Linked DNA regions of Rhinolophus ferrumequinum. The protein of the gene in region 2 purifies or fractionates together with the protein of the main gene of each other region. This does not show direct contact. Links are inferred from orthologs where the notes say so. Each region holds a gene or a part of one and is shown on either strand. Other genes may lie near its edges.

Region 1 (7,850 bases), on a different chromosome or scaffold from region 2:
GCTGACTACTTTTCCATGTGCAGTTTTTTTTATAAAGACTACTCCACTACCTTACTAGGTGTAAAGGGTACTCAGTAAGACATCAAATTTTACACTTACATGCTTACATATCTGAATAAATACAATTTGTATTGAAAACATGAAAACTCTAAGCTTCAACTCCCTAGGATCTACAGGGCAGGTTAACACCTTATTTTTCGAACAATTATTTCTACCTTTTGTTCTGCTTAATCACTGAAAGAATTATACATTCTGATCATATACTAAACCAACAAAATTTCTTTGTGATAAAAAAGAATTCCAAATCTGACAGCCACGGCCCATTTAGAGGTTTGCAATACTTCCTCATACTCAATTGCAACCCAACTGGGTAAAGGAGCAGTATTTACAGCGCTGCCATTGATACCATTCGCTGCTGAAGAAAGCTAGTGGCCCAGTGATAGCCCACTGCTGCTGCCCCAGGTCTTTGGAAGAAATCAACTTATGTTAAAGCAGCAGCTACTGAACTGGAATTGAGAACAAAAGAGCAGTTATTGAGAAAATAATATTACAATCTTTTAGTATAGGGAATATACTTGTGTGCTAATGGGAGAAGTCATTAATAAATATTTAGTCCAAATAGCTCACTTAATATAATTCCACACAAAAAAATGAAATTACTTTATAGAAGCAGCCCATAAGCACAAGTTATAAGTAGTCTTACAAGTTTCCATTAGCTAACTAATCAAAATTGGCATTAATTTTACATTCCTACAAAGGAGAAAGTTCAAGTAATAAAAAAAATACTACAAAATTGCTAGAACCCGTAAAATTATCAATACAATACAACTGCTGCTATACTAAGTATTAAGGTATCGGAATGTCATCATCTTCCTGCCTTTAAAAACCTGTTTCTCCTAAGCTTTCTGCATTAAAGTTCAATGTTACATTCCGTTTTCTAACATGTGGAACCCCAAAATTACAGCATCTGACAATTGAGGGAGGAAAGGGAAGAAGCAGCTTCACTTACAAGTATCAAGACAAACCACTGTGTCATCGAAGTGTTCATCTTCTTCTTCAACAGGTGGCTGAGGAGATTTGGCTCTGAAAGACAATATTGTCTCCTGATACAGCTTTTCCCACCAAAGAGTAAAGAATGAATGACAAGTAAAACTAGGTGAGCGTCCTCTACCTGCTATACTTGTTTTCTTCAATGTACTCAAAATATCCACGGCCATGATCTTCCCGAGGTCGTTTAACACCTCTCTTTTTATCTCCGCCTTTCTGCTCTGTTTTGCCGTCTCCTATAACACACAACACCCCTACTTAGAAGGCCAAGCCGCAAACACAACAGAAAAAAACCCTTTTGTTTTGAGACGCAAAAAAGCTCGACATTTCCTTGTTCCTTTCTGGAAGCGTTTTCAAACAACGGACTCAAATGAGAATTCAAACGATCAGCTTGGAATAGGATTGAAATTAGTGACGCAGTATAAACACCACAAATTTTGCCAGTCTAGTGGAAAATTCGAGAAACCTAATGAAAAATAGCGCCGCACAGGCCGAGCCCACGTGCATCCCGAAGAGAGTTCAGGAAGGCGGGAGGGGCAGAGCCGAGCCCGCGCGCCCTCCCCTCCCCTCCCCCACCCCACCCGGGCCCGCGCTCCCCGCGGCCGCATTGTACAGATCTTCCGCCCCGCTCTCCCCACCCGGCCCCTCCCGTCGGAAGTGACGTCACGCGAGCCCCTGCGCTCCTTGCACAATACCGCGGCCCAGAGCCGCCAAAGCGCGCCCGCCCCGGGCCCTTGGGCCTCTCCCCTCCCCCCGAGACATGTGCCCGCACCGCGCGCACGCTGCGCGGCGGCGCCACCGTGGGCCGACGGGGCTCCCCCCGCCGCCCGCGGCTCCTCCCCCTCCAGCGGCAGCTGCAGCTCCCCTGGCTCTCGAGCCACATAATGGAGGCGCTGCCACCACCGTCACACACACCGAGCCCGAGGCCTCACGGCTAATCCGGGATTCCCCGCGCCCCTCCTCCACCGCCACCCGCGCCGCGGCCCCCGCCCGGGGCTCCCTCCCCCCACGGGGCCCCGGCAGGCCTAAAGCAAGGTCCACACCCGCGCGGGCCTCCTGCCGCGCGCAACGTTACCACGCAGCCCTCACCCGCTGCCGGAGCCCCGGGGCGGCCGCCGCCTCGGCCGCCTTCCGCTTTCTTACCTCCCGCCTGCTGCTGGCCCTGCCTGGCCCCGGGCGGCGCCACCGTCACGGCGAACAGCGAGGTGGGGCCGCTGCTCTTCCCCGCGGCCTCCTTGGCGGCCCCGCGCTGCTGTTGGGGCTGTTGCTGCGGCGTCGCCGGCGGTTGAGACTGCTGCTCCCCGTGCCCGTTCTCGTCGCCCGCGCCTTCCTCCTCGTCTCCGAGCTCATCCTCCCCTTCCTGGAAACCCTGGTCGTCGCCGTTCTCGTCCTCCGAGGCGGCCTCCTCCTCCTCCATCGGGCCCGAGTCGGCCGCCCCCGCGGCCCCATTCTCCTCCCCTAGCTCCATCTGGTTGCCATCCAGGGCGGCGATCCCTTCCTCCTCCTCTTCCTCCTCCTCCTCCTCTTCGTCGCCGCCAGTCGCGGCCTCCTGCTCGAGGCCTGCTCCCGAGCGTCCGGCGGAATCCCCGCCCAGGTCTAGGCTGCCGTTCCCGGGCTCCATGGCGGGGCGGCCCCCGGCCTCCTCGTCGTCCAGCGCGGCCTGGAGTCGCTCCATGAGCTCGGCCTTGAGGCCCTTGTCGGAAAGGCGCCGCTTCTTGAGCTCCTCTTTCAGCTCCGACACCTTCAGCTTTTTTACATTAACAGGCGAGGAACTCATGGTGAGGGCCCCGATTCACCGCTAGGCGCTGGCTCGAACTCGGCTCCGCTCACTCGGCCACTGGTGGCGGCTGCTGCGGCTGCTCCTCGGCCCGGGCGGCGGCTGCGGCTGGAGGTGGGTTCGTGCTGCAGAGCGGACCCGCCTGGTGTCGAACGGCGCCAATTCCTTTCACCGAGTTCGCGAGGGAGACGCGGAGACTCGCCTGGCGTGAGCGAGCACGCAACGTCCTCTCGCAGGGGCGGCGCCGCGCACGTATTATAGCCGCCCCGCCCCCTGCGCTGACGGGAGTGCTGCGCAGGAGGGAAGCCAGAGCGCGCCCGCGCCGGGGCCCGCCCATTACCGTACTTACCTCCCCGCCCCCACGCCGAACTCTGGGCAGAGAGCGCGGCCCGGGCCGCGCAGTGCGCTTCCAATTGGGACTGAGCAAATGGAGGGAAAGGAAACCGCCTTTCAGTTAAACCGACCCACTGCAACAACTATTGGCCTTTCTAGTTCTTTGGTGGCAGTACTCGTTTTGCTCTTTGCCTTTCCAGCCCTGAGGCTGCTTTTATCCAAATGCTTTCAGTCCTCAACCTGGCGGTTTCAATTCGAATCCTCCACCATTTCTTCCATCTTAGATTTTCCTTATCCAGCTATTGGTTTCAATTTTTCAGTTTTGATTTGTACGACACAAATTGGCAATTACTACACGCAGGGGTTTTTCTTCCGCGTAATATTTCGTTTAATTTTTCTAAGTCCTGCCTGTGAATTGGATTTTAAATTCGGGAGGGGCGAGGGCAAAGCCTTTCTTTTGTCTCGTCCACAACCCCTACTGCACGGCTTGGGAGATGGAGGCTTGCCTTAAGAGCGTGATCCCTGCTCCATACCGCAAAGCGTACTTGAGGGGCCTTGTCTTGGCAGCTGTTCTCGTAGTATTAATAGCCAAAGAAATGAAGCCTCAGAATTGCATTTCTGGGTGTTCTCTACCTACCTACCAAAAAAAACCAAAAACGTAAAACATTCTGTCCCACTTAGGACCTGGTCGTCCAGGTGTAAAGTCCCAGCTAAATCCTACACTTTGATTCTATTCATACTTCTGTAGAAATACTCTTGACCAAATCCTGCTGAAACTAATAAAAACGTGTGAAAAATAAAGGGCTGTGATTTTGTAAAAAGAAAAAGAGACTTGTCACCCTCAAAATCTGTTATTTTGGTGTCTTTCAGAAGTAATTTTTTCTTTACTAAATAAAAGATGTGTTATGTTCTTGAGGTTTTAGATAGGGGGGCCAGAATTTAGATTTGTGGTGGAGGTAAACATCTTAAACCTCAGAGAATCTGCACAGGGACCAGCCAGTGTTCCACTATCTCTGACTAAGGAGGTCTGTTACACCCACTATTTGATGCTTTAGCTGGCACAATAATGCGGCCCCAATATTAATTTGAAATTTGGAAAAATATACATGTAAACTTTCCCATAGGTAGTATGTTTTAGATTAATTTTATTGTTTTTTTTAAGTTTCTTTTCGATAGCCTTTAACAAACATGTTATTTTTCCAGGCAGTAGTATATAAAGATGAAATATTAACATTTGTAAAGTGATTTGAGTTGAAATTAATGGACCATGTACAGTACTGGTAATTCTTAATTCAGCTTACTGGAGGTAGAAGGGATAGCACCTAAAATAGGAACTTCCAAATAGTGCCAAAAACTCCTGTTAGCCTTTGGTTACAATGTCCTTGGAGCTTGTAAACAAGTCACAAGCTGGAATTTTAACTTTTCAAATTCTTTGCCCGTGTTCAAAAACGGGAAGAGAGCCACAGGAGGCTTACATGTTCACAAACTGAATAATTAGTCTCTTAATGAATCAGAGTTAAATATAGTTAGCATGACGGTCCTTTAAGTTTGTAAGTGTCCTTAGATATTTACATTTTTAAACTATGAAAATAAAGTTCACATATCTAAATATCTTTATAATAATCATTGTTGGTAGGTTAAATCAGTTAATAATAAACATGAAATATAACTGTAGATGGACAGGAGATAGTTCCATGGCTTTAACTCCAAGAGCTTTGCAGACTTTTTGAGCTCGATGTAGCCTGGAGAACATCTTCAGTGGGCTCAGTTTACAGCCCAGGTTGCAGAGGCTCTCCCTCTCACCCCAGTGCTCCTTCCTTACAACTGGACCTTCTTAAACAACATTGGAAAGAAAAACAGTTTTTGTAAAACTGTCGAGCCATCACCTTACATTGTCCTTTCTACAAAGGGGTAGAATCTACTTTACAATTTGAAAGTACATATAATGATAATTTTACTAATTGTTTTTGCTTCTCTCTCTCTCTTTTTTTTAACTTTTATTTATTTTAAGTGTGTTTCCCACCCCCAGACCCATCAGCTCCAAGTCAAGTAGTTGTTTCAATCTAGTTGTGAAGGGCACAGCTCACAGTGGCACATGTGGATCGAACCAGCAGCTTTGTTGTTAGGAGCTCTGCACTCTAACCAACTGAACTAAGGGGCAGCCCCTGTTTTTTCTACTTAGAGTTTAATGCTATCATGATTGTCCTGTTCTATAGAGACCAGTCAAAGTATAGATCACTTCCTCTAAATTGCTGAGGGACCTATAAGGAACTTAAAATTCCCCCTTTTTGAAATCCTAGAGACTACCAAGAATATAGAGTGGAAGAGGGGACACATTAATTCTCAGTAGCAAAAAGGGATTAGACAATTACCCATGGGTACTAGATCTATGAGAGAGCATTACAAAGTTAGGGTACTCAGAACACATAGTTTACACTTTGAGGCTGAAGCAAAGGTGTGTACATACGTGCTACAGTTCACTCAGCAAATACATTTTTGATCATCTTCTCTAAGACCTATAGAGGTCTAGGCACTGGTATCCTAGAACTACAGCGGTGAACTACATAATTATGCCTTCACTCTCTTAGGGAGAGTAGTCAACAAATATAAAATAGGAATGGTAACAATTACTACAGGGAAATAAAAAACAGGAGAGGGACGAGGTGTACCGAGGTGGGGGGTGAGTTTTTCAGCTATAAATAAGGTGGTCAAGGAAGCCTAAGAAATATGGTAACATTTGAGCAAACATCTAGAAGAGGTGGAGGGAACAGTAAATACAGAGGCCTGAGAGGAAAGATAGGAAGTGAGATCAGAGAGTTAAGAGAGAAGAGAGGAGGTAGAGATAGCAAGCAACCTTGCAGGTGGTTTTGTAAGGACTTTAGCTTTGCCTCCAAGAGAGGAAAGACATTAAAGGCTGATTCATAGTGAAGTGACATAAACTGATATGAGTGCTAAATTCAGTGGACTCAAGATGCTATTCCATTTAACTTATTTTTTTTTTCTTTTTGGTCTAACACAATGAAGCTCAATTTAAGTTAATGAACGAAGCAAGAAATACGGTGAGATAAATTTCCAATCTTCTTACAAAGATGTAAGAAAGTATAGGTACCTCCAAATTATAATGTGTTAAAAGTACATTTTCAAATAGAGAAATAGGAAAGCCCAGTTGAAAGGGAGGATGTACCAAGTTCTCGTTAAAAGTGCAAACTTAGAAACAGACAGACCTGGATTGCAGTGCCATCCAGAGCACCTAGGAGCTGGTCCCATCTAGTAGCTAGTATGTGATCTTGCACAAGCTATGTATCTCTCTATGCCTGAGTTTACTCATATATACCTGCCTCATGAGGTTGCTGGGAAAATTCAGCCAGGTGATGAACATAAACTCAGGGTACAGTGCTGGGCACACAGTAAGAGCTCAAAAAATACTAGTCTTCATTAGATACACCAAGCAATTTAATGAACTTAAGAAAATCTGTGATTGGATTGTTAATATCTTATTTAGGGAATTATGACTATACATATTTTGTAAATTATCATGAATTGTTCATTGTAAGATGTCAGTCTAGAAAAAAGTGAAATGAAGTCTGTCCACACAGGAGAGTGCAGACTTCTCAGCTCAGCACTGTCACTGTAACCAGCTGTGTGACCTTTGGCAAATTGCGTGATCTCTCTGGAAATTAGTGTCCTTGTGTATGTACGAAGCAGAGCAGACTAGATTTGTAGAGTCCCTCCAGAGAGAACCTTCGATGAGTTTCTTCTTTGCTGACTCCAGGCTGGAAATGGGGGAGCACTGTTAAACTTTGAAATCATTGTTATTTACATTCAGGTTTTACTTGTTATGTTTAAAACTTTGCATTAGAGTCTCAAAACATTTTAAAATTAAGTAGTAGACATGAACGTTGAACCATTGTACTATAGTTTTTGAATTTAAAATGGTACAAAATATTCCCATTTACATGAGACTTGAGTACCACGACAGGCTAAAAGTTTCAAAGTAAATGCTTCCTATTTGAATCATCTTGTCTGTGATGTCATGAATCTCTGTCTTCACATAACTTCTGTGGAATAAAACACGCTCATTAGAAAGTTGCAGGAAAACTATAATCGTGGTTAAAGTAATATGTCAGGGCTTTTCTGAATATTTACTAAATATTCAGTAAATATTTACTAAACTAAAATATTTACCAGGTAAAGACTGATAACATTTACCAAAACTTATCTTACACAAAGGTAAGTGGAGTGCTAAGGAGTTTATTATTATTAAGTACATTATCACACACATTACTCGTGCCTGGCCGGTATCACAGTACCTGATAGAAAAGGATGAAGAAAATATTCAGACCATCCTGAATTACACAGCCAAGAACGAGATGAAAGACTAGAGTGATTATTACCTCATAAGCTCTCACCTTCTATGTGCACCCTTGGAGCTGGTCTGTTCCTTGAGCTCAGGGAGCAAGATGGACATGACTTTTCCAGCACCCGGTGCAGTGTCTTACATCAATAGTCACAGAGAGCCCAGCAGTGTGTGGGGAACGAGATGGAAGCTCGGTAACGAAATATACCCTCTAAAAACGTGAGAACTGTACCACAACCCTGATGCACACTGAATAATTTATTTTAAGAGAGAGCTCTCCAAAAATTAAGTAGAGACTGTGATGATGCATTTGATTCAGCAGAGCCTTCTTGACAT
Region 2 (7,087 bases):
GAAGACCAATTTTGACTTTAGCCCTACATGTTGGATCCATCCTATAACAACTTTAAGATAAAGGAGTACTGTCCTTTTTAATTTGCCTGCTTTTCTACTGTAGTTTGGATGAATTAGGCCTGAACATCATACAATAGAATAAATCTTTGTTGGCAACCTAAGTTGTTTCACTAAGATTTTCACTCCTACTGGCCACCATATCTGAGTCTCCATCAACCTGGTTAATACTATTTGTCCACCCCACCCTGAGACCCCACCCCACCCAACTTTCCGGCCCACCCAAGCCACTTCCAGTGGCTTTTCCATACAAACAGCCTGTCTTGGCTCATGCTGTGGACTTTCCTAAAACCACTCAAAGGTTCACAACCCCCAAACAAGCAGCATCTGGCTTCAGTGTGTCCTGTGCCTCTTGCTGAGCAGCTCTGAGTCTGGCATTAGTGACAGAAGGCCTCAGTTCTGGGCTTAGCCTCTCAAGGCACCTCCAAGACCAGCACGGTGGTGGCCATCTGTGGATTGCTTTGTGGCTCATGCAAGGCTCTGTGGCTCTGGGCAGGGAACAGTTTGCAGCTGAACTTGGCTTATGGTGGAGCCTCTCCCAGGGGTCCCCGGGGCTGGCATACATTGTGGCCAGCCTCGGACCAAGCAGGAGCACCACCCAGCCGCCTCCAAGAATGACACACCCAAAGGGCAGGCACCAGAGCCCTGCTAAAGTGAATCTTGCTCCATAGGGTCAGCCCCTGCACCACAGCTCCTCTACTGTTGTCACGGCCAGTCCTCACAACAAATCAGCCTGAGAATGAATCCCTCCCATTGACATACAAACAGCTACCAAGGCTCAACTACAACAGGAGGGCACACACAACCCACACAGGGGACATACCTGGAGCACCCGGCCCGGGTGATCAGGGAGACTGTTCCACTGAGCATAAGGCCACTCTACTGAGACCAGGAGACATAGAAGCACGTTTCTAATACATAGAAACACACACAGGGAGGCAGCCAAAATGGAGAGACAAAGAAACGTGTCCCAAACAAAAGGACAAAACAAGCCCCAGAAAGAGAATTAAACAAAATTAAGACAAGGAATCTACCAGATGCAGAGTTCAAAACACCGGTTATAAGGATGTTCAATATCTCGGGGAGAACTTCAACAAAGAGATCAGAAACATAAAAATGGAGATAGAAATTATAAAAAAGAACCAGTTAGAAATAAAGAATACAATAACTGAAATGAAGACTACATTACAGGGAATCAATAGTAGATTAGATGAAGCAGAGGATTGAATCAGCAATTTAGAAGATAAGGTAGCAGAAAATACCCAATCAGAACAGCAAAAATAGTGTGAGGGATATAAATGATAACTAAAAAAGAAACCAACAAACAGCAAAAAGAGAAAAAGAATCCAAAAACATGAGAATAGTTTAAGGGGCCTCTGGGACAACATCAAGCATACCAATATTCGCCTCACCCAATTAAAAGATCGGGTGCCTAAATGGGTAAGAAAATAAGACTTTTATATATGCTGCCTACAAGAGACTCACATCAGATCGAAAGACACACACTGACTAACAGTAAAAGAATGGAAAAAGATATTTCACGAAAATGGAAACAAACAAACAAGCTGGGGTAACAATATTTATACCACACAAAATAGACTTTAAAACAAAGGCTATAACAAGAGACAAGGGACTCAGTAATCCAACTTCTGGATATTTATCTGAAGAAACCCTACTTCGAGGGGACATGTGTGTCCATATGTTCATTGCTACATTATTTGCAATAGTCAAGACATGGAGGCAACCTGGGTGTCCATCCGTGGATGAACAGATTAAAAAGAGGTGGTAAAATGGAATATTACTCAGCTATAAGAAAGAATGAAATCTTGCCATCTGCAACAACATAGTTTGACCTAGAGGGTATTATGCTGAGTGAAGTAAATCAGACAGGGAAAGACAAATAAATGGCATATGATTTCACTTATGTGTGGAATCTAAAGAACAAAATAAACAAACAAATGAAACAGAAACAAACTCATAGATACAGAAAACAGTTGCCAGCTGGAAGTGGAGTTGGGCGAGTGAGTGAAAAAGAACTACAAATTGGTAGTTACAAAAGAGTCATGGGGATATAAAGTATAGCATAAGGAATATAATCAATAACATTGTAATAACTATGTGTAGTGCCAGATGGATACTAGATTTATCAGGGTTCTACATGGGAGGAGGTTGGGGGCAGGGTGAAAAAGGGAATTAGAAGTACAAATGGGTAATTACAAAATAGTCATGGGGATATAAATAAAGCATGGGGAATATAGTCAATAATATGGTAATAACTATGTATAGTGCCAGGCAGGTAATAGACTAGTCAGGGGGGGTCACTTCTTAAATTATATAAATGATTAACCATTATGTTATACCCCTGAAATTAATATATAAGAATGTGAATATCGACTGTAATTGAAAAAAATTTAAAAAGCGGGGGAAAGGTGAAGGGGAATAAGAGGTTCAAAATTTCAGATATAAAACAAATAAGTCATGGGGATGTAATGTACAGCATAAGGAATATAGTCAGTAATAATGTGATAGGGTGGTACTGTGTGAGATGGTTGCTGGACTTATCATAGTGATCAATTCTTTAGGTATACAAATGTTGAATGAACCATGGTAGACACCTGAAGCTAATATAATATTATATAGTACCTATATTTTAATAAAAATCTTTATAAAAAAGAGAGAGAAACCAAATATTTTTTGATAAAAAAAGATTTTCACTCCTAGGTTCTTATTTCTTCTCACCATTCATTTAAAATGCAAACAACAAAAACCAAAGTAAACTCAACAATAAGCAGCTAGGGAGCATGAGATTTGAAATATGCTAAAATGCTTTTAATTCTCTCCATAGGTGCTAGTTTGGGGGTTTCCTTGGGGAGCACTAACAACTTTTCCACCTCCTCAAGTACCATTTACCCAAGGCCAAACACAGCGGAATCCCTTCCCTAATGTGTAGGAATGTGAAAGCATGCTGGCGCTGGCGAGGCCCTCCTCTGCAAAACTGTCTCACACAGCGCACTTTATTTTTGCTTCTTTCCATCCTTACATTACCTTTAGCACATTATGTTTTTGCTTTTTCCATAATTACATTATCTTTAAGGCACTGCCTAAACGGCGTCTTTTATTAAGCTGGTTTATTGGGGGTGGGCGAATAGAAACGCCCTAAAATGTTCTCAGGTCCCAGATGAGTTAAGAAAAATAATTGAAGGCCCCTTTGGTGTCAGTGATACCTGGTAGGGGCGTGTGGACACGTGGTGGGCAAGAAACAAATTTAGGTCCTAAAACGTCTTCCAACTGCTGTGATTTTTGTTTTCTAATTATCAAAATACACACTCGTTGTCAAAAAATTGTAAAACTCAGAGAAAAAGGAAACAACTTGTAATCAGTGTGGTTTTGGGATGTAACCCGTTCCTTTTGGGGAAGCGATGGAGGGGAGAGAGGACGCATTAGGTCTTTGGCCAGGAACACCGGGCGGCGGGGTACTCGGGAGTTGTGGGTTCAACCGGGTTCGAAAAACCGACCGCCCAAGAGCCTGGGGAGCAGGGCCATTCCCACTGCGCTCCTTTTCCGCCACCTGCGCGGTGACTTGGCGCCTTCCCTGGCGTAGCTCCCGGCCTCCGTCACCCCCGCTCCGCACCGGTCCCCTACGCAGATACCCAACCCCGGCACCTTCCCCCGTAAGTGTCCACCGACTGAAAATAGGTCCCGAGTCCGCCCCCGACCCCCCTTCAAATCCTCCCCTTTAAACGGAGCCACCGGGTGACGCCGGGGGAGTTTGCGGAAGCGCCAACCGCGTTGGGGCCTTGGGCGGATCCCGTGATTGCAACTGGCCACGCCCCTGGGTCCTCTTCCCCCATTGTGTGAGCGACTCGGGCCCAGGCCCCGCCCCCTCACCGCCTCTCTCCCGCGGCCCAACCCCTCCCCTTTTTTTCACCCCCCCTTGGCTCATTTCCGGCCGCCGCTGCTACCGCTAGCCCGTAAGGAGGATTCGACAGAGGGAAGAAACAACAGCCGCCATCTTGTTTGTGTGCTAGGCTGGGGGGGAGAGAGGGCGAGAGGGAGCGGGCGAGAGTGGGCAAGCGGGACGTCGGACTGAGTGCGAACTGCGGGAGCGAGAGTGCGGAGGGGAGCCGGGCCGGAGAGAGGCGGCAGGGGCCGAGACAGTGGCAGGGGGCCCGGGGCGCAAGGGCTGAAGCGACCCCCAGCCCCCTCCCGCCCGCACACACCCCCACCGCGGCCCCGGAGCCGGGCCGGCGTCGACGCCTAGGGGGGACCATTACATAACCCCGCGCCCCGCGGCGCCTTCGCCCGCCGCCGAGGGCGGCCCCGAGCGGAGCCCCTGGGGGGCGGGCGCTCCCGGCACCTGGCCGCCGGGGGTGGGGGCCGGAGAGGCGGCCGTATTTATTTATTTTCCGCGGGAGAGGAGGGCGAAAGAGAGCGCGGCGCGAGGGGAGGCCGCCTGCACCACCCTCCGGAGCGGGGCCTCGTCGGTGGACTCGGCGTCGGCGCGGGCGGGCGGCACTGTTCGGCCCGGCCCCCTCGGCCCTCTGGGCCGGCGAGCTCCGCGCCCGGCGTCCTCGCCGCTCCTCCGCCGCCCGCCGCGCGATGTGAGGCGGCGGCGCCAGCCTGGCTCTCGGCTCCGGCGAGCTCTCTACGGCCATTAGGGGCCGGTGCGGCGGCGGCGCGGAGCCCGGCAGCAGGAGGAGGGTTCGGAGGGTGGGGGCGCAGGTCCGGGAGGGGGCACCGGGAGGAGGTGAGTGTGTCTTGTCGCCTCCTCCTCTCCCCCCTTTTCGCCCCCGCCTCCTTGTGGCGATGAGAAGGAGGAGGACAGCGCCGAGGAGGAAGAGTCTGATGGCGGCGGCGGAGCTCCGAGAGACCTCGGCTGGGCAGGGGCCGGCCGTGGCGGACTGGGGACTGCTCCTCTAGAGCCGCGAGTTCTCGGGAATTCGCCGCAGCGGACGCGCTCGGCGGATTTGTGTTCCTGTGCCCTCCTCCCGGCCTGGGCTCAGGCCCGGCCCCTCGCACTTGCCCCTACCTTTCTATCGAGTCCGCATCCCTCCACAGCCACCGCGACCCGGCGAAGAGAAAAAGGAACTTCCCCCACCCCCCTCGGGGGCTGGCGGAGCCCCCCAGGCCCACCCCAGGGAGCGGGGCGGGGATCCCGGGCTGAAGAAGAGATTTCCCGAGAATTCTCGTTTTCCTCGCCTGTATCTCCGAAAGAATTAAAAATGGCCGAGAATGTGGTGGAACCGGGGCCGCCTTCAGCCAAGCGGCCTAAACTCTCATCTCCGGCCCTCTCGGCGTCGGCCAGCGATGGCACAGGTTAGTCTCGGGAGTCCTCTCCTCCCACATCCCCTTTCATCTTTTCTGCTCGGTGGACCTTTATTCTTCCATATTTTCTTCGTTTTTCTCTCTTCCTAGTTCTCTCTCTCGATTAATTTTAAAGGTGTTTGAATGAGCTGGTCGAAGACGTCCAGTAGCCCAACCATTTTCTTTGCTTCCTAATACATTCGTTGCAACATTATGTCATATCGATATGTGTTCTGGAATTAGAGCTCTTGAGTGGTGATATAGAAATGGCACTTATTGTTTCCATGCAGTTTGATTTTGGATATGCCAATGCATTTGTGGGTAAGGGCTTTTTATGCAATTTTACTTTTAATTTTTTATTGTTGATAAATGAGGAATTGCGAATCCTTTCGCCTTGGTTGCACTTACTCTGTTTCCTCTACTTTCTACTCTTCCTTTTCAAGATTTTCTCTTTTTTGCACAAGATTTTCTGTTAAAGATGAAGGTGTAAAAAAAAATCTTGGTTTTATTTGTTAGTGGGTGTGATTCCAGGATTTCATGTTTGACGTGAGGTTTAACGTCAAAACCTGAAATTTGGTTTGAATGATTTTACCTACAATTCCTAGCTTTTTTTTTCCTTTGCTTTAAGAATCAATATGGAGCGCAGTTCATTTTACATCTTCCATTTCTTTGGTGTGAGACCAAAATGTCTGAAACTCTGGGTTTTCAGGTGGGAGAGAGCAGGGACATTTTCTTTGCAGTTCGTAGTCACTTTGTCTTGGGGGGGCAGTGGGGGGAGATACTGATTTTGTGGAGTGAAGTGCTTGGAAATCAAGATAGAAATTCAAAGAGTCCCAACCATGAACTGATGGTACACAACTTTAAAATGTGCCTTGTTTGTGTGTTTTTGCCTTTTTATGCTTTAAACATATTTGGAGATTTCAGTTTAAAAAAATCTCTACGAATTCTTTGTGGAATAGCCCTTTCACAAGAGATAGTCCGGGAGACTTCCTTCCATCATCTCTTTCTTACAGTTAGTTTGGTGCTGTCCTGATGACCACCGGCCTTCTCTTTTGCTGTCATAGTTGTTTGGGGTGCCAGGATAATGAAGAGGAAGAATGGCTGGCCATTTGACCGTCCACAAGATTCCCTCCCCCGCCCCCCCCCCTTACTACGGAGCATCTCTTGAACTCCCCAAGAACAAGCTCAACGTCATCCCTCCATCTGCCAGTGAGAGTACTTAATGGAGCTAAATGTACCCTTTGAGTTTGTAGAGAACTTTTCAGCACATTTCTAAGTAGGCTTCATCTTAAAGGGTGAAAATGTAAGGGTATGGCAAATGCTGTCGTTTCTTTGCTTTTATAAGAAAAATGTGTTACGAGTTTAAGATAATCAGCAAAAACTAAGGATTTTTGCAGAGTTCCTCTACTTCAGGCTTGTAACATTAGCAATGCGTGAACTTTGATCTGTCCTTACGCCTTGAAGTTTCTGTAGTGTTCAGAGATTTTTTTTTTTTTGGTAACCTAACCTTTTTTCTCAGGATGCATGCAAATAATGGGTAACCTATTCCTTTGCATTTATTATAGTGTCGTTCAGAAATTCTTATAGATCCACCATTAGGCATGTTTTCACCTGTAGATTTTTGGGTTGTTTCTTAGTTTTTGTGTAAAATGGTAATGGATTTTACATTTGAGTTTGCTAGGGATAGTTTAGAGAAAACTTTTTTTTTTGTATGCATTATTTTTAT
Region 3 (6,841 bases), on a different chromosome or scaffold from region 2:
CAGAATACTGAAGTACGTTTTCTATATATGGAATATTAGGAGAATTTTGAATATAATTATGGTCTAGAGCAAACGGTAGCCCATGGACCAACTTCAGATGGCGGGCATGTGTTGTTTGTCTTGCATTCTCATATATATATATACACACACACACACACATATACATATATACATACATATATATACATATATATTCATATTTAATTTAGTTGCCCACGCTTAAAAGCCAGCATATGGTACATGAATATTTGGAGTTCTGGCTTGTCTTGGAATATTGCAGAGCTGGTAAGGTAGGTCCTGCATCTCTCCCTGAATCGTCAGCTGGAACCAAGTACCCCTTACCTCCTTGAGATGTTTAGTTTCTCACGGTTCTTAGCCACCCTGTTTACTCATTGTCATTACTGGCTGCAGTTTATGTTTACAACCCTGATGTAGGATGTAAGATGTTGGAATTACCTGGGAGGAGATGTCTTTGTTCTTTCTGTTAGTGGGGCTCCAGATTCCATAGACGTAGATAGGAGTAGGAGATTGGGATATATATATATATATATATTTTTTTTTTTAAAGAAAACAGTTTTATTGAGATATAATAACACAATAAACTGTACATATTTAATGTATATACAATTTGAGGAGTTTGGACATATTTACACACCCATGAAACCATCACCACAGTGTCTAGGTAATAAACATACCCACCACTTCCAAAAGTTTCCTTGTGTCTTTGTGTGTGTGTGTGTGTGTGTGTGTGTGTGCGTGCGTGTGAAGAACACTTAACATGAGGTCTACCCTCTTAAATGTCTAAACGCATAAGACTGTATTATTGACTATAGGGAGATGTTTTGTAACTAGATCAACTGGACTTCAGGAAGAGAAGACAGTATACAAATAACTGAAGTCTAGGTGACATCGACCCATTCGTTGAAAAGCTGAAGAAGCAGGTTTTGGGGAGATTATAATAATTTCAGTTTATGGGGTTTGAGGTGCCTGTAGATACCCAGGTGGAGGTGTCCAATAGGTCCTTGAATTAGTGGAGCTGGAGCTCAGAAGAAAAGACTGGACTAGAAATCTAATTTAGTAATTGAGCTCCTCCATCAGCAATAGTGGACCAAATAATGTGTCTAATCCCTGAGCTGAAGACAACTAAAATGTTGGATGAAATCTTTTAAAAATCAAAGCACTAGTAAAACAGTGAGGAATTATTGGTGTGAGAGCAGAAAAGGACAGGAAAATAGAGAGGTGAGACCAGCAGTGGGACTGCTTTTACCCTGGGGTCATTTGCTGGTCCGCATCGGTGGCGGAAAAAAGGCTGTGTGGGGCAAGTGAGACAAAAGTTGGAGTCCAAATGTCCCTAAGGGTGAGAACCCTGGTAAACCACTGTACTATTTGGGGTTAGGTTCCTGGAAGGCTGCATTCCTAGGGAAAACCTAAGAGTAGGTAGAAAATCCAGCTCCAAAATATTCAAAAACCAAAATTCAGAACCAATTGATGGGTTTCACAGCAAGTTAGACTCCACTGAGGATCAAGTAATGAATCAGAAGGAAGGACAGAAGAAATTACCCAGAATGAAGCGTGGATAAAAAGGCATGAAAAACATACGAGAGAGTTAGAGGCATAGAGGATAGCATGAGAAAGTCTGAAACACCTTTATTTGGAGCCCAGGACAGAGGGAAATAATAGGATAGAAGTCATATGTAAACAGATAATGGCTGAGAAACTTAAAAAGTGAGTGAACTACATCAAGCCACAGATTCAAGTTCAACAAACCTCAAATAAGATGAAAAACAATTCCCTATTTAGATCCATCGGAGTGAAAGTGCGGGAAATTAAATAAAAAATAAAGCCTTTAAAATAGTAAAACGTATTGAGTACCCTCAAAGGTGCAGCCATTAGATTGACAACGTTTTTTTCACAGTAAAAATGGAAGCCATAGACAGTAAAAGAATATTGTAAATGTGCTGAAAGAAAATTAGTCCCATCTAGAAACCGATACCCAGAGAAAAAATGTCCTTCAAAAACAAAGGTGACACAAAGACGTTCAGACAAACCACAACCAAGAAAATTAGCTACCAGCAGAGGGGTACTTATTCTCCAGCAGAAGGATCAGTCCAGATGAATGGTGAATGGTTGGAGTTGCAGGAAAGAATCAAGAACGTTAACAACGGTAAATCTAAAGGACCACAAATTTAACTAATAAGCGTTAATGCCTTGTGAGATTGAAAATATATAATTTAAATTCTGTGCACATATATCTTACACCTACCAAGATGTGGAATGCATCTGACCACAAGAATCTTGTACACAAATGTTCATAGCAGCTTTATTCATAATGGCCTCAAACTGGAAACAACCCAAATGTGTTTGCCTGTGTCTCAGCCAGTTGGAGGTCCTGAATTCATCAAGAGGAGAAAGGACAAACAAACTATGGTGTATTTATGCTACTCATAAACAAAAAAATTAATTGCTGATAAATGCAAAACCCTGGAAGAATCTTGAAACGTGTCAAGCAAAAGAAGCGAGGCAGAAAAGAGTACAAACACTCTGAGTCTATTTAAATGAAGGTCCAGAACAGACAAAACTCATCTATGATAATAGAAATCGGAACAGTGATTGTCTCTGTGGGCGGGGCAAAGGGGTATGAACCAACTTTCTGAAGGGATAAAAATTTCTTTATGTTGATCTGGTGGTGGTTACATGGACGGGCTACATCACTCAAAGTTTCTCGAGCTGTAGGCTTAAGATCTGTGCATTTTGTTGTAGTAAATTATACATCAATAAAGTACTTAAAAGAATTACACAACAGCGATAGTATATAATTCTGGAGGGAGTAATGGTGGTAAATAGAATTAAATTATTCCTGCATTTCTCACGAAGACGGTAAAAGTATTACATAAAATTAGACTTTGCTAAATTAAGGATGCACGTTGTAATTTTTAGGGTAACCAACTAAAAGAGTAGAAAAAGAGTGTGTAACTTTCAATTAACAGAGACTGGGAGGTAATAGTGCAAAAGAAGGAGGCAAGTAGGGAAGAGAAAGATTACAGGAGGGACAACGCACATAGTAATATGATTGATTTAAATGCAAATACAGTATATACGTATATGTGGCTGTTAAAACCTCCTAAAAGGGTGAAATCCGTCAGTTTGTAGAGAGGGAAGAAGAGAGATGGGGGAAACTGGGCAACGGGGATGGGTCTGGCCCTTCTGTCCTTACTACTTCCCTGCTCTTTTTCTGAGACCTGTTTCCAAAGCTGCCTCAGTTTTGCTTCTAGTCCCTCACCATCAGTGTTTTCCCCGCTCTGATTCAGTCAATATACTGCCCCCTTTTCTTAAATCCGCTTCTGCGTTAGTGTTCATTGTTGCCTAATTCCTTTCCTATTCCCCCCCATTTCACTTGCTAATGGTAAAAACAGCTTCTCCAGGCTGCTTTTTAGAGGCAGAAAAAAATAGAAAGTGGTGTTTACACTTACTGAAGTTAAAACTTGTACGGTATATGAGGGAGGAAAAAAACATCCGATAGCAGAGGATGGTTTCGATCCATCGACCTCTGGGTTATGGGCCCAGCACGCTTCCGCTGCGCCACTCTGCTATCTGGAATCTCAGCTACTCATCACTCCTATAGAAAGTGTTCTGCGTGGCCTCGCTCACATCTTTATATAACGCCATCTAGTGTCTGGTAAGAAAAATTGTCATTTATCAAGTCTATTCTTATTGGCTACTTCCTGACACACAGGCGTTTTTTATTGGTTCCTAAGCAGGCTTGCCAGAGTAAACCAATAGGCATAAGCGGAGGATTAAGGCGGGAGCCAATCACGCCGGAGTTTGTTGGGACACGCCGGCAAGCCGCCTCTCCAGTTATCGGTTTCTCCGAGGCAAGGGGCGGTTGGAGTGGTCTCCATTGTTCGGGGTTTAGGACGCCATGAGGTAAGGGCACGGGATTCCTCTGGGAATGTGTGGGGTGTTTGACCGAAAAGTTTGGGGAGGGGGACCGAAAGGAGTCGGAGGACCTGGAAGGACCACGTGTCTGGGGGCTGCCCTAAAACCTGAGAACTCGGGGTCGGGGCGAGTGGGAGGTCGGAGGCCGCGGAGGCGGGGAAACCTGGGCCTGGGATGGGGGTGGGGCCCAGGAGTGGGGAGGCGGGTTTGACGCCTGTCTGCGGGGTTTAGGGGAGGGGGTGTCCTCCGATCCCGGGAGGAGCACCGCGCTTCCCCCCATCTAGGCTGAGGAGGCTGGAGCGTGCTCCTCCATCCTCACTGCCAAGTGCCCGGCTGCATATGCCCGATGAACGTTTCGCGACGTTAATGACTCAATGAGCAGTCCCTCGAGTCTCAGAAGTATTAGGGTTGGCGCGTCCCGGGAATTATGGGGTATTTCTTACAGGGGTCGATGTGGGAGCCCCGCCGTCGTTTGGTGTAGTTGTGACTACATTATCCAGAACGAGGGCGCGGGGGTGAGGCTGGCCGTCGGGACCGGGAGACGTGAGGCGGGCGCCAGCCGCGGAGCGGGGATTCTCGGCTCCCAAGGGAAAGTTCAGGGCGATGGCGGCAGGCTGACTTGAAATTGTATGACCGGGGGTATGGTGGAGTGATATTTTTAACGAGGCCGAAACCACGTTCGAGTCTATTTTCGTGTATTCTAGGGGTGACAGAGGCCGAGGTCGAGGTGGGCGCTTTGGCTCCAGAGGAGGCCCAGGAGGAGGGTGAGTGCCAGCTTTAACCTCTTTGCTCTGGTTACTGTCTACGACAGTCACCTAAACAGGAGTTTGGAGGGGCCTAATACCTGCTTTGGTGCGATCCTGCTGTGTGGTTCAGAAACAAAGCCAAAGGAGTTGGACCCATCATGCTAAGTCGCTTGATTTCTGTGGTTCCTAATTTGGGTGGTTTTTCTTGTTTTAGGTTCAGGCCATTTGTGCCACACATCCCATTTGATTTCTACTTGGTGAGTACCATAGCCCCTGTTCACCCGTTGCCATAGAAATGGAGCCTGCACACTCTTCACTTGTGGTTTCCTGGAGCCCAGCATCTCCCTGTAAATGAAGTCAAATGGTGGTTGCAGTAGGAAAAAGGATTAGGGAATGGAGTTGGGGTTTTGAGTCAGCTGTGTGTTGCTTACATGCAAAAACAGTGTAAGCAGGGTGGGTCAGATCTGTGGCTACTGTTGCCAGTGACGTGACTGTAGTCTGAATGTTAATTGTATCTCTGGCCTATCTGTTATTATAAAAGTAGTGACAGCTTCGATTATGGTTATTCCCTCCAGCTTGGATCCTTGTTTGAACATCTTAAGGAGTAAAAACAAGTGTTGTAGAATTTTCTATTTTTATTCTATTGTAGCAACAGAAAAACAACCTCTCCTCTTGGTTTTGAGAGATAGTACATAGTTCTTTGTTTCTGATTTAGTGTGAAATGGCCTTCCCCCGGGTCAAGCCAGCGCCTGATGAAACTTCCTTCAGTGAGGCTTTGTTGAAGAGGAATCAGGACCTTGCTCCTAATTCTGCTGAACAGGTATATTCTTTTGGCTTCCTTCCTGAGATTTCACTAAGAAAGCCAGAGAAGTGAATAATACTGGTGAGGTTACTGTGATCAGAGCCCACACTCCACAGAGAGTTCACAGCGGTCCCCTCTTACAGTGGAGATAACGTCCAAGACCCCACTGGCGGCCTGAAACCATGGATAGTACCGGACTCTATGTACACCATCTTTTTTCCTATACATACGCACCTGTGCTAAAATGTAATTTATAAATGAGGCACAGTAAGGGATTAACAATAATAGAACAGTTATAATATACCATAATAAAAGTTATGTGAATGTGATATTTCAAAATACCTTATTGTACTGTTCTTATTCTTCTTGTGATGATGCGAGATGATACACGCATACATGATGAAGTAAGATGAATGGTGAACGACTGAGGCACTGGCGTGGCCTTAGGCTACTATGGAGAGGGCTACTGGCCGGGAGCGAATATAGTGTGGATATGCTGGACGAAGGGATGATTCACAGCGCGCCATTTAAAACTTATGAATTGTTTGTGGAATTTTCCGTTTAATATCTTTGGACAACAGTTGACTGTGGGTAACAAACCACATAACGCAAAACTGGATAAGGGGGGAGCAACTGATTGTTCTCCTTCTCATTGTGGGTGGAGGGAGAGTGCCAGATGAATATATAAATATTTACAGATGTGTTCATATTTTTATTGGGGAATCTATGAGATCAAACAGTTCTCTTCTGGAATGCTCAAGGCCAGAGGGTCAGAGTGTTTTTAAAGCACTATGTGGGAATTGACTCAGCTTGTATGGAAAGGATTAAGAGGAATATTCAAACTGAGAAGTTGCTTGTAATTTTTCACCGTAGCTTATTTTTGTTTCCTGCTGTTTTCAGGCCTCTATCCTTTCTCTGGTGACAAAAATAAACAATGTGATTGACAACTTGATTGTGGCTCCAGGGACGTTTGAAGTGGTGAGTTTCTGATGACCTAGTCTAGTTGTAGGGCAGCCGTGGTAGTATGGAAATTTCATTGGCTCCTGTCTCTTAATTCTTCTATTATCTATTACCCAAAGCCAAGTCTAAAATGGGAAAATACAATGGAATTCCTTTGTGGAACTGATCTTGGGACAAGACTTACATCATTGTTATCAGCTAGCCATGATGTATCAGGCTTTTCATGTGGTTTTTGGGATATGACTTGACCTCTGCAACTTCTAAGTCTGGGTGATAAAATGCTGTGTTGTAGTTGAGTTTGCAAAGGAAGAAGGCAGTCTTTTCACTTCTTTTTTTCCCCCTGAAATCCTTCTTCCAACAGCAAATTGAAGAAGTCCGACAGGTGGGCTCATATAAA
Region 4 (7,263 bases), about 4.2 Mb from region 2:
GGCGTCTGACTTGAGAATGACCTGGATGTCCTGGAGCACCTCCTCACCGATGGGCCGGGGCCGGGTCACCTCGTCAGCCACCTCCTTGGCAGCTTCCTCCAGCTAGAGAGAAGGAAGGGGACAGGCCGTTGGTGACGAGCAGGGCCAGCCCTGGGGGGTCAGAGACAGGGTCCCACTCACCAGCTGCAAGTGCTCGGCTGGCTGCTTGTACAAGAAATCAGCCAGGTCCTCGTCAAAGCTGGCCAGGTCCTCCATCTCCACCTCGATCCAGTACTCCCCCAGGTTGTAATGCCGCTTGAGCTCATCCCTGGAGGGGGCAGGTGGCAGAAAAGAGCAACCAACACTGGCTAAGGTACACCTGCACCCTGAACCTGCCCTTACCATCACCAACACTGCTCACCACGTCGCTCCCCAAACGCACACAGAATTCCAGGGGGTTCTGCAAAGGATCCCTGTTGTCACACAACAGCCTAGCAGCCTGCCCCCGACTCCCACACCCCATGTCTTTCCTTAAGGAAAGAAGAGTCTGTGAGACTGTGTATCTCTGGGACTGTATATTTCTCTCTATTTAGTCTCCAAAAGAGGGTTTGCGGCCAATGACGAGTAAGATTCCCCACGGCGGGGACAACTCAAGCCAGGCGGAACCCCATGGAGACCCCCAATGAGCTGCCTTAGAAAGATTTGGGAAGGGGCCTTGTCTCCCCTTCCCCCTGCCTGGGAAAAGTCGCTGCTGACTCTGGCTTCCCCTCTCACCTAATTGGGAGAAAAGTCTTGAGAGTGATAAGATTAAGCTGTCTCTGCTCAGCTCTGTGAAACAATTTCGACATGTGATATATGTCCCTTAAAAGAGTTGCATACCTCACCTCAAGGACTTTCTGCTTCGGCTGTTTGAAGATCAACATAATTGGTTTGGGTTGTTTCTATAACGTGGTGAGTCCCACAGACCGTGCCAAAAACACTGCTACTCCCTTGTATACTTATCAATAAAAACCTCCAGTCGGCTCATATCTGGGCTCCAGTCTTTCAGAACTGTGAGACCCCTGGCCTTCTGAGATTTAACTGCATTAAGTCTCTGTATGTTTCTTTCTTAAAAACTTAACCCAAAGCCACCCCTTCTCGCACCCTCAGTGCCCGTGTTGCGCTGGACGCAACAGGTCCCTACTGCCAGCAGAGGCAGCCTCCAAAGAAAGCTCCGTGGAAGGATATTTCAACCCTCAAAGACGAGGTTCCACGCACAGGTCAGTTGGGGAGACTCTCACTGCAAATCAGTGCTTCCATTGCAGGACTCTCTTGGGAAACTAACAAGGCACACGCCCCAGAACTGGGGAGGCACACGCCCCAGAACTGGGGAGGCACACGCCCCAGAACTGGGGAGGCACACGAGAGTAGACATTGTATCTTGTCAACCATCACAGATTCTTTTCAGAGCATTCCACAGCACGACTGTACCAAACACATTTGGGGACCACGGACCTACGCAGAGCCGGCTCCCAAGCCTCACCTCAGGCCTCATCCTCTTCTACCTTATGCGTGGGAGCCACATAAAGCAGCCTGTCTGGCCCAGAGAGCCCCTTGCTACAACAGGCCACCCCATACCTCTGCCCATGCAACTGCCATGTGGAATGCCTCCCACACCACGACTCTTCTCTCGGCTCAAGGGTCACCCAGAACTTTGGCTCCTCTGGAAGTCTTCCCCAACTCCTCTTTTACATTCCTCCCTTGAGGTGACTATCACTTCCTAATTTATGCATCGCTCCCACTGAGCTCTCGAAGGCAAGTAGTACGAATGTTTTTGCGTCTGTTATCTCAGTGTCTAGCAGTGTCTGGCACATGGGTGATCAATGTTAGCTTGTGCGTGAATAAATGGAAGCAGAAATGGCTATGCCCATTTTACTGACGAAGAAACTGAGGCCCAGAGAGACTGTCACCCGAGCCTGGACCTGCAAACGCATGTTTGAAGGGCCTACAATGATGTGGCATGATGTCACAGGTTGCACAATGACTAGAAGCAGGGACCTAGCCCAGATCGTTCAGTGCTGTAGCACCTGGAACAGTGCCTGGCATGCAGCAGGCACTCAATCAATAGTGGTTCCAAGAGAGGAATGAACGAATGAATGAGTGAAGTGAATCATAACTCCCACTTCACCTACTGTACCCAGAGACAACTAGGGTCAAGAAAGTATCTCTGACAGTATGTATAAGGACAGAAACAGCAGACAAACAGGAACAAGAAATGGACAACGAACCAAAGGGCCCACGTAGCTCCAGCTGGGTTGGCGGAGGCCCATTCAGCAGAAGACTGGCTCAAAAGTTAACTCCAGGTATAAAACACAGGAAACCATAGGCCATAGGTTTGTGGGGGGGAGGGGAGTGCCTGATGACGCACTGCTGGACCAAAACCCGCAGACCCGCGACAGGCTCCTCCTCCTCTCGTCCTGTTTCCCCATCCGTGTCTGGACTGTCTATGACACTGCAAGGTTCTCCGTGGAGACTGCCCAGCTCCCCTCCGCCCCCGCTCCGGCTCGCACCTGTATTTGAAGGTGAAGCCGGTGCGGTCGGTGCCCACGCGGTACTGCCGCAGGAACTCCTTGAAGCGCCTCTGCAGCTGCGATTTGCGGGCCTGCCCCTCATCGGTCGCGTTGTCACCCCCGAAGCTGTCGCTGTAGAAAATGCCGAGGTCGTCGAAGCCTGACATGCCTGCACCTGGCGGAGAAAAAGAGCTGGAGCAGAGTGGGGGCAGCGCGCGGCGACCGATGCCTGGGTCCCTCGCTCCGAACGCGAGGCGGGTGTGTCTCGACTCAGGGGTGGGGGACCCTGACCCCAGTTCTCCCAGGGGATACCCCTACCCACCCTTATTGCGCCCCCATCCATAGCCTACCGACCCCCCGTGGGGCGGGCTCCCGGGTCCCCACTCCCCAGTTCCACCGGCCTCACCTCTCCTTTCCGCCACTCCACGGACTCGGAGAGACAGGCACCCCGACACTCTCCGCCGAGTTTCGCGGGAAAAACGAGAGGCCGCGTTCGGACGCTGCGGCTGCTGTGCCCCAATTGGTTAGCCGAGGCCCCGCGGCCATTGATTGGACCGCTCTGCGCCCTCAAGCCCCGCCTCCAAGGCCAGTAGCCGAAGCGGATTGGCTGAGGGGCTCATGATGTCAGGACTCCTGGTCTCCTTCCGGGCTCCATTTTGTGTGGCGGGCAATTTGGCGCGAAATTTATGACGGGAAGGGGAGGGGTGGGGCCTGGCGTAAAGATGGTGGAGGGGTGGGTTTTCGGGCCGAGGGACAGTGCGGGCGTGCTGAGGACGCTTGTGTACTCTTCTCGAGGCTTTCTAAAATCTCTTGAGAAAAATAACTCCTTTCAGAGCCACGGGGTGAAAGAACCAAGGGTTCAGAAGCTATACGTCCCTACGAAGTACACGCTTGCGGGGTGCGAGCCCGCTGCCGTCCAGCGGGCGGGGGCGGGGGCGGGGGCGCGGCCACCTGCACCCCTGCTCCGTGTTCTCACAATAACAGACTCTTCTAAGATTGGGAGATTGATCAGGCACAAGTCACCTCTGGTCTCCTTAACGCCTCTGGGAACAAAATCGTCCCAAACTTAGGACTCAAGGATGTTTTCTTAGACCTAAAGGAGAATTTTTGTTTTAACTGTCGATTTTAAATTATTTGGAAATGCTTAACCTTGGCGAAAATTCACGACCGGGTTCCCAACTGAGCTTGAAAAATGGGAGTATTTGGCCAAACTCGTCGCGTTCTCAAGCAGCAACAAGGACGGCATACTTTTCTTCATTTCTACCCACCTCCCCTCAAGGACCTGGAAAGAACTTTGTATTGTCCGCCACGGTCACTCAAACATGTTTGCAAGGCATGTTTGAAATGTGTCTTTTCACAGTGTATAAAAATACCAAATAAATCGGAAACGCTTTTCTGCTTAATACTGCACGGAAGTCCCTCTGACGGGAAACATTTCATTCTATCTAACAGTGATTTAATTTTCCATAGTATGAATAGAAGGCAAACTATTACCATTTTCCTGAGAGTAGAATCAAGATGCTTTCTCTCCCGCCTCCCACCCGCCCTCCATCACCACCATGAATATCATGCCCCTTTCACAGAAAACTGGAAACTGGTGTCGTGCAGGGGACCCTGCTCGTTGCGCCATGTGTAGTGCAGGGGATCCAGGCGGGGTCTCTGCTCCCGCCCCCCACATAAGAACGCAGGGTATGGCTAGGCCAAAAAGGAACATCCACGGAGCCATAGGCAGGGGAGTCACACCACTATACTCTCGCTGGCGGCTGGGTTGGAGACACAGGAACCAGGAGCAACACAATTCTCAACCCTCACTGCACTGCTTGCAGGCTCAGCCACCATCTTCTTGCTAGCTCCCCCTTTTTTCCTGCTAGCCTAGCCACGGCAGTTATATTCATGGCTAATGGCTCACTGGTTACAGCTGACGGCCAACTAGCCACAGCTGCTGGCCATTTGCTCACAGTCGATGGCCATTTACTACCTGAGCCAGCACCTTTCTATGTGAGGCCGAGAGCCTGGAAACTGATTTTTGGGGCTCTGTCCCCACACTGGGCCCAAGGTGGGCAGAGCTGTAGTTGCTGTTTGAATGACTACGATTTGCATGCACCATCTCATAAACAGTGGCTCCTGTTGCTTGGCTGCCCTTCGCAATCTCCCGGGGAGCCTGTTATACACAGGGTTCCAGAATCTAGCCCCAGGTTTCCAGAATCAGAACCTCTCCAGTGGGGCCCAGGAATATCTGGGTGATCATGATGCCACCATCCACTGACTGGTGCTAGGACACCACTGGAGTAGGTGTATTGTTCTCATTTTGTCAATGAATAAAGGAGACTTGAAGTGACTTGTCCAAGTTTCCAGACGTAGTGACAAAACCAGAACCAGGGACAAAGGACGTCCTGACTCCCAGTCCTCACCTACTAGTTGTCTAAGGAAAGGCCTTGTCCCCTGCGCTCCTAAATACACCTTCAGCGAGGGGCTTTCACTGTCTCGGATTGGGATTCTGCATTTTAAATAAGCTGATGGCTTTCATGAGTTAAGGGAAAGGCTTGGGTCACAGAGCTGAACAGACCTGGGGTAAATCCTTCCTGCCCCTCAGGGTGGTGCCGCTCGTCACACAGACTCACTGTGAGGATTAAATGAGATGGCATAGGTGAGGTGACTGCCAGTACAAGAACCACTTAGCAAGAATCACAAAACCCCGATCTCCCTCGTTTTCATAATAGGGGCAAGTGTACAATGCTGGCATTTTACATGCATCTCATTTGCTTCACAGGCAGGTGAGGTAGGTCTCACTGTGTTCATGTTACAGGTGACACCACTGAGCCCCAAGAGGGGTTAGTAACTGACCCCTCTGTAGGCAGAGTGACAAAGTGGAGTGGCAGGGTCTTGAACCCAGGGATCTCTCGCTAGTCTCTAAGATTCACTGGACAAGACTCAAATTTTATCCCAGAATCTGCTCATTTCAGCCTAACAAGGCAAAGCTATCCTCTGTAAAGGTGAGTCTTGCGTCAAGCAGGGTTCACCACAAAGATACACCCACCAACTACTTAAAGCTCAGCCCCCATTCTCAGAACAGAACACAACATCTAAGACAGGCTCCTGCACCCTTTCTCCCCACCAGACATCCAAGAAGCAAGTGAGGAAAAGGTCAGTTCCCCAAGGTAACAGCCCAAGAAAAACACTTCAAGTTATATCAGGCAATATAGTTTATTATTTCACATAAAAGTTAGGGACCAAGGCCACAGTGCTGTTAAAAACACCTCTCTCCCCACCCAACCACCCTTACCCTGCTATAAAAAAAAAAAACAGAACACAACAAAATGCCACCCCAGTTCAGGCTGAGCTGGGAACAAAAAGTGGCTCCAACAAAAACAAGACAAACACAAGACACAACATCTTTGCACATTTATATGAAAATTGCCATGGCCCATGAGGAAAGCGTTCATGGCAAGTCAACAAGGAGACTGTGACCCCAGGGCCTTTGGAGGTTCAGGACAGCTGCTACTTCTGGCTGCTACTTCTGGGCTCTGCTGCAGGAGTAGGGGAGGGGAGTGTTCTGAGGGCTGGGCAAGGACCCCTCATCCCTCTCTGGAAGGTCAGGTCATTGGCTGGATGTACTTTTGGTTGGGAAGACACTTAAGTCTCCTTCTTCCTTTCCAGAGAGGGAAGGAGGGTGGGGGTGCTGACAGCCCCCCATGCCCAAGGGAAGGAAGCCAGCTGAGATTTTCCCTCTAGAAAGAGGGTCCTCCGCTGGACAGAGTTCATGGCCCCAGGAGCCAACACGTGTGTACGTGTGTATTCACATGGCATAAAGCCCCATGGCAACCGTTGCCACCAGAAAACTGAGTGTGAGGACCCATCGTACTAGTGGTGCCCGGGAGAGGATACTGAGCTGGGACTTCCCTCTGGGTGTCTCGATGGGAGTAGCATCTGAAAGAGAAAGGGGTCAGTGTCAACCACACAGATGCACAGAGGTGGGATGTCTGATGTCACAGAAAAACACAGCACAAGGGCCTCAGCAGTCTCTAGTACAGTCCCACTCAATGCCAGGATTCTACTACAGCACAAACAGGTAGCCCTCTAGCCACTGCTTGAATACCTCCAAGGACAGGGAACTTACTATTTCTCCAAGCTGTCTAGTCCTCACTTTTCAGCCAGCCCACCTTGTGAGACCATGCCCTCCCGGGGACCACACTTTGAGAACTGGTTAGGGCAACTACGCCTCACCCCACCAGGTAACCTGTCCTACCAGGACTGGCCACATTCCAACACTCTGAGGCACAATCCCACCAATAGAGGGGTCCACATGGTCCTGGCACATGTGGAAAAGCCACAAGGCAGGGGGTCAGAGTGGCACCAAGAGCCAAGAAGGCTTCATGGAAGCTGCCAAGCAGGCAGTGAGCTTCACCTCTCCACTCTACCCATTGTCAAAGCCACCCTCCCACCACGCATGTGTCAGGTTCGGTGGACGTCCATTTTGTGGAGCATTTGGGTCTCTTGGGACGTTTCCCAGATATTCTCTCAGCACAGACACAGCCTCTGAATAACTCTCTCTACTTTTGAGCCAATGAACTAGAACAAACTCAACCTCCCTTGGTTTGGGAGTTGGGGAAACTGAGGTAGGGAGAGGTGCCCAGACTCACACACTGGAGGTTGAAACCCCATGCCCTGTTGCCTGCATCCTACTTCTCATTTAAAACATTCAGAAGACAGGAGAGTTAAGCGATACTGGAGTCAG

Evidence for each region.
Region 1: the proteins of EP300 (region 2) and HNRNPU purify together in Homo sapiens (affinity purification with mass spectrometry; 3 studies listed by BioGRID, with this or other methods). This does not show direct contact. The link is inferred for Rhinolophus ferrumequinum from reciprocal best matches to the Homo sapiens genes EP300 and HNRNPU.
Region 3: the proteins of EP300 (region 2) and ILF2 purify together in Homo sapiens (affinity purification with mass spectrometry; 4 studies listed by BioGRID and IntAct, with this or other methods). This does not show direct contact. The link is inferred for Rhinolophus ferrumequinum from reciprocal best matches to the Homo sapiens genes EP300 and ILF2.
Region 4: the proteins of EP300 (region 2) and MCM5 purify together in Homo sapiens (affinity purification with mass spectrometry; 3 studies listed by BioGRID and IntAct, with this or other methods). This does not show direct contact. The link is inferred for Rhinolophus ferrumequinum from reciprocal best matches to the Homo sapiens genes EP300 and MCM5.

Annotation. Positions count from the first base shown.
Region 1 is NC_046310.1:16,462,152-16,470,001, reverse strand, and holds the start of HNRNPU (heterogeneous nuclear ribonucleoprotein U), read right to left. Parts: upstream 3,019-7,850; 5' UTR 2,825-3,018; coding exon 2,191-2,824; intron 1,284-2,190; coding exon 1,172-1,283; intron 1,084-1,171; coding exon 1,010-1,083; intron 1-1,009. UniProt on the Homo sapiens protein: DNA- and RNA-binding protein involved in several cellular processes such as nuclear chromatin organization, telomere-length regulation, transcription, mRNA alternative splicing and stability, Xist-mediated transcriptional silencing and mitotic cell progression.
Region 2 is NC_046293.1:6,788,284-6,795,370, reverse strand, and holds the start of EP300 (histone acetyltransferase p300), read left to right. Parts: upstream 1-4,071; 5' UTR 4,072-5,279; coding exon 5,280-5,373; intron 5,374-7,087. UniProt on the Homo sapiens protein: Functions as a histone acetyltransferase and regulates transcription via chromatin remodeling. Acetylates all four core histones in nucleosomes. Histone acetylation gives an epigenetic tag for transcriptional activation.
Region 3 is NC_046305.1:52,588,832-52,595,672, reverse strand, and holds the start of ILF2 (interleukin enhancer-binding factor 2), read left to right. Parts: upstream 1-3,820; 5' UTR 3,821-3,919; coding exon 3,920-3,924; intron 3,925-4,640; coding exon 4,641-4,700; intron 4,701-4,896; coding exon 4,897-4,939; intron 4,940-5,397; coding exon 5,398-5,502; intron 5,503-6,384; coding exon 6,385-6,462; intron 6,463-6,805; coding exon 6,806-6,841. UniProt on the Homo sapiens protein: Chromatin-interacting protein that forms a stable heterodimer with interleukin enhancer-binding factor 3/ILF3 and plays a role in several biological processes including transcription, innate immunity or cell growth.
Region 4 is NC_046293.1:10,965,182-10,972,444, forward strand, and holds the start of MCM5 (DNA replication licensing factor MCM5), read right to left. Parts: upstream 3,004-7,263; 5' UTR 2,935-3,003; intron 2,704-2,934; 5' UTR 2,696-2,703; coding exon 2,529-2,695; intron 308-2,528; coding exon 181-307; intron 103-180; coding exon 1-102. Other genes in the region: HMOX1 (heme oxygenase 1), read right to left, coding at 6,325-6,455. UniProt on the Homo sapiens protein: Acts as a component of the MCM2-7 complex (MCM complex) which is the replicative helicase essential for 'once per cell cycle' DNA replication initiation and elongation in eukaryotic cells.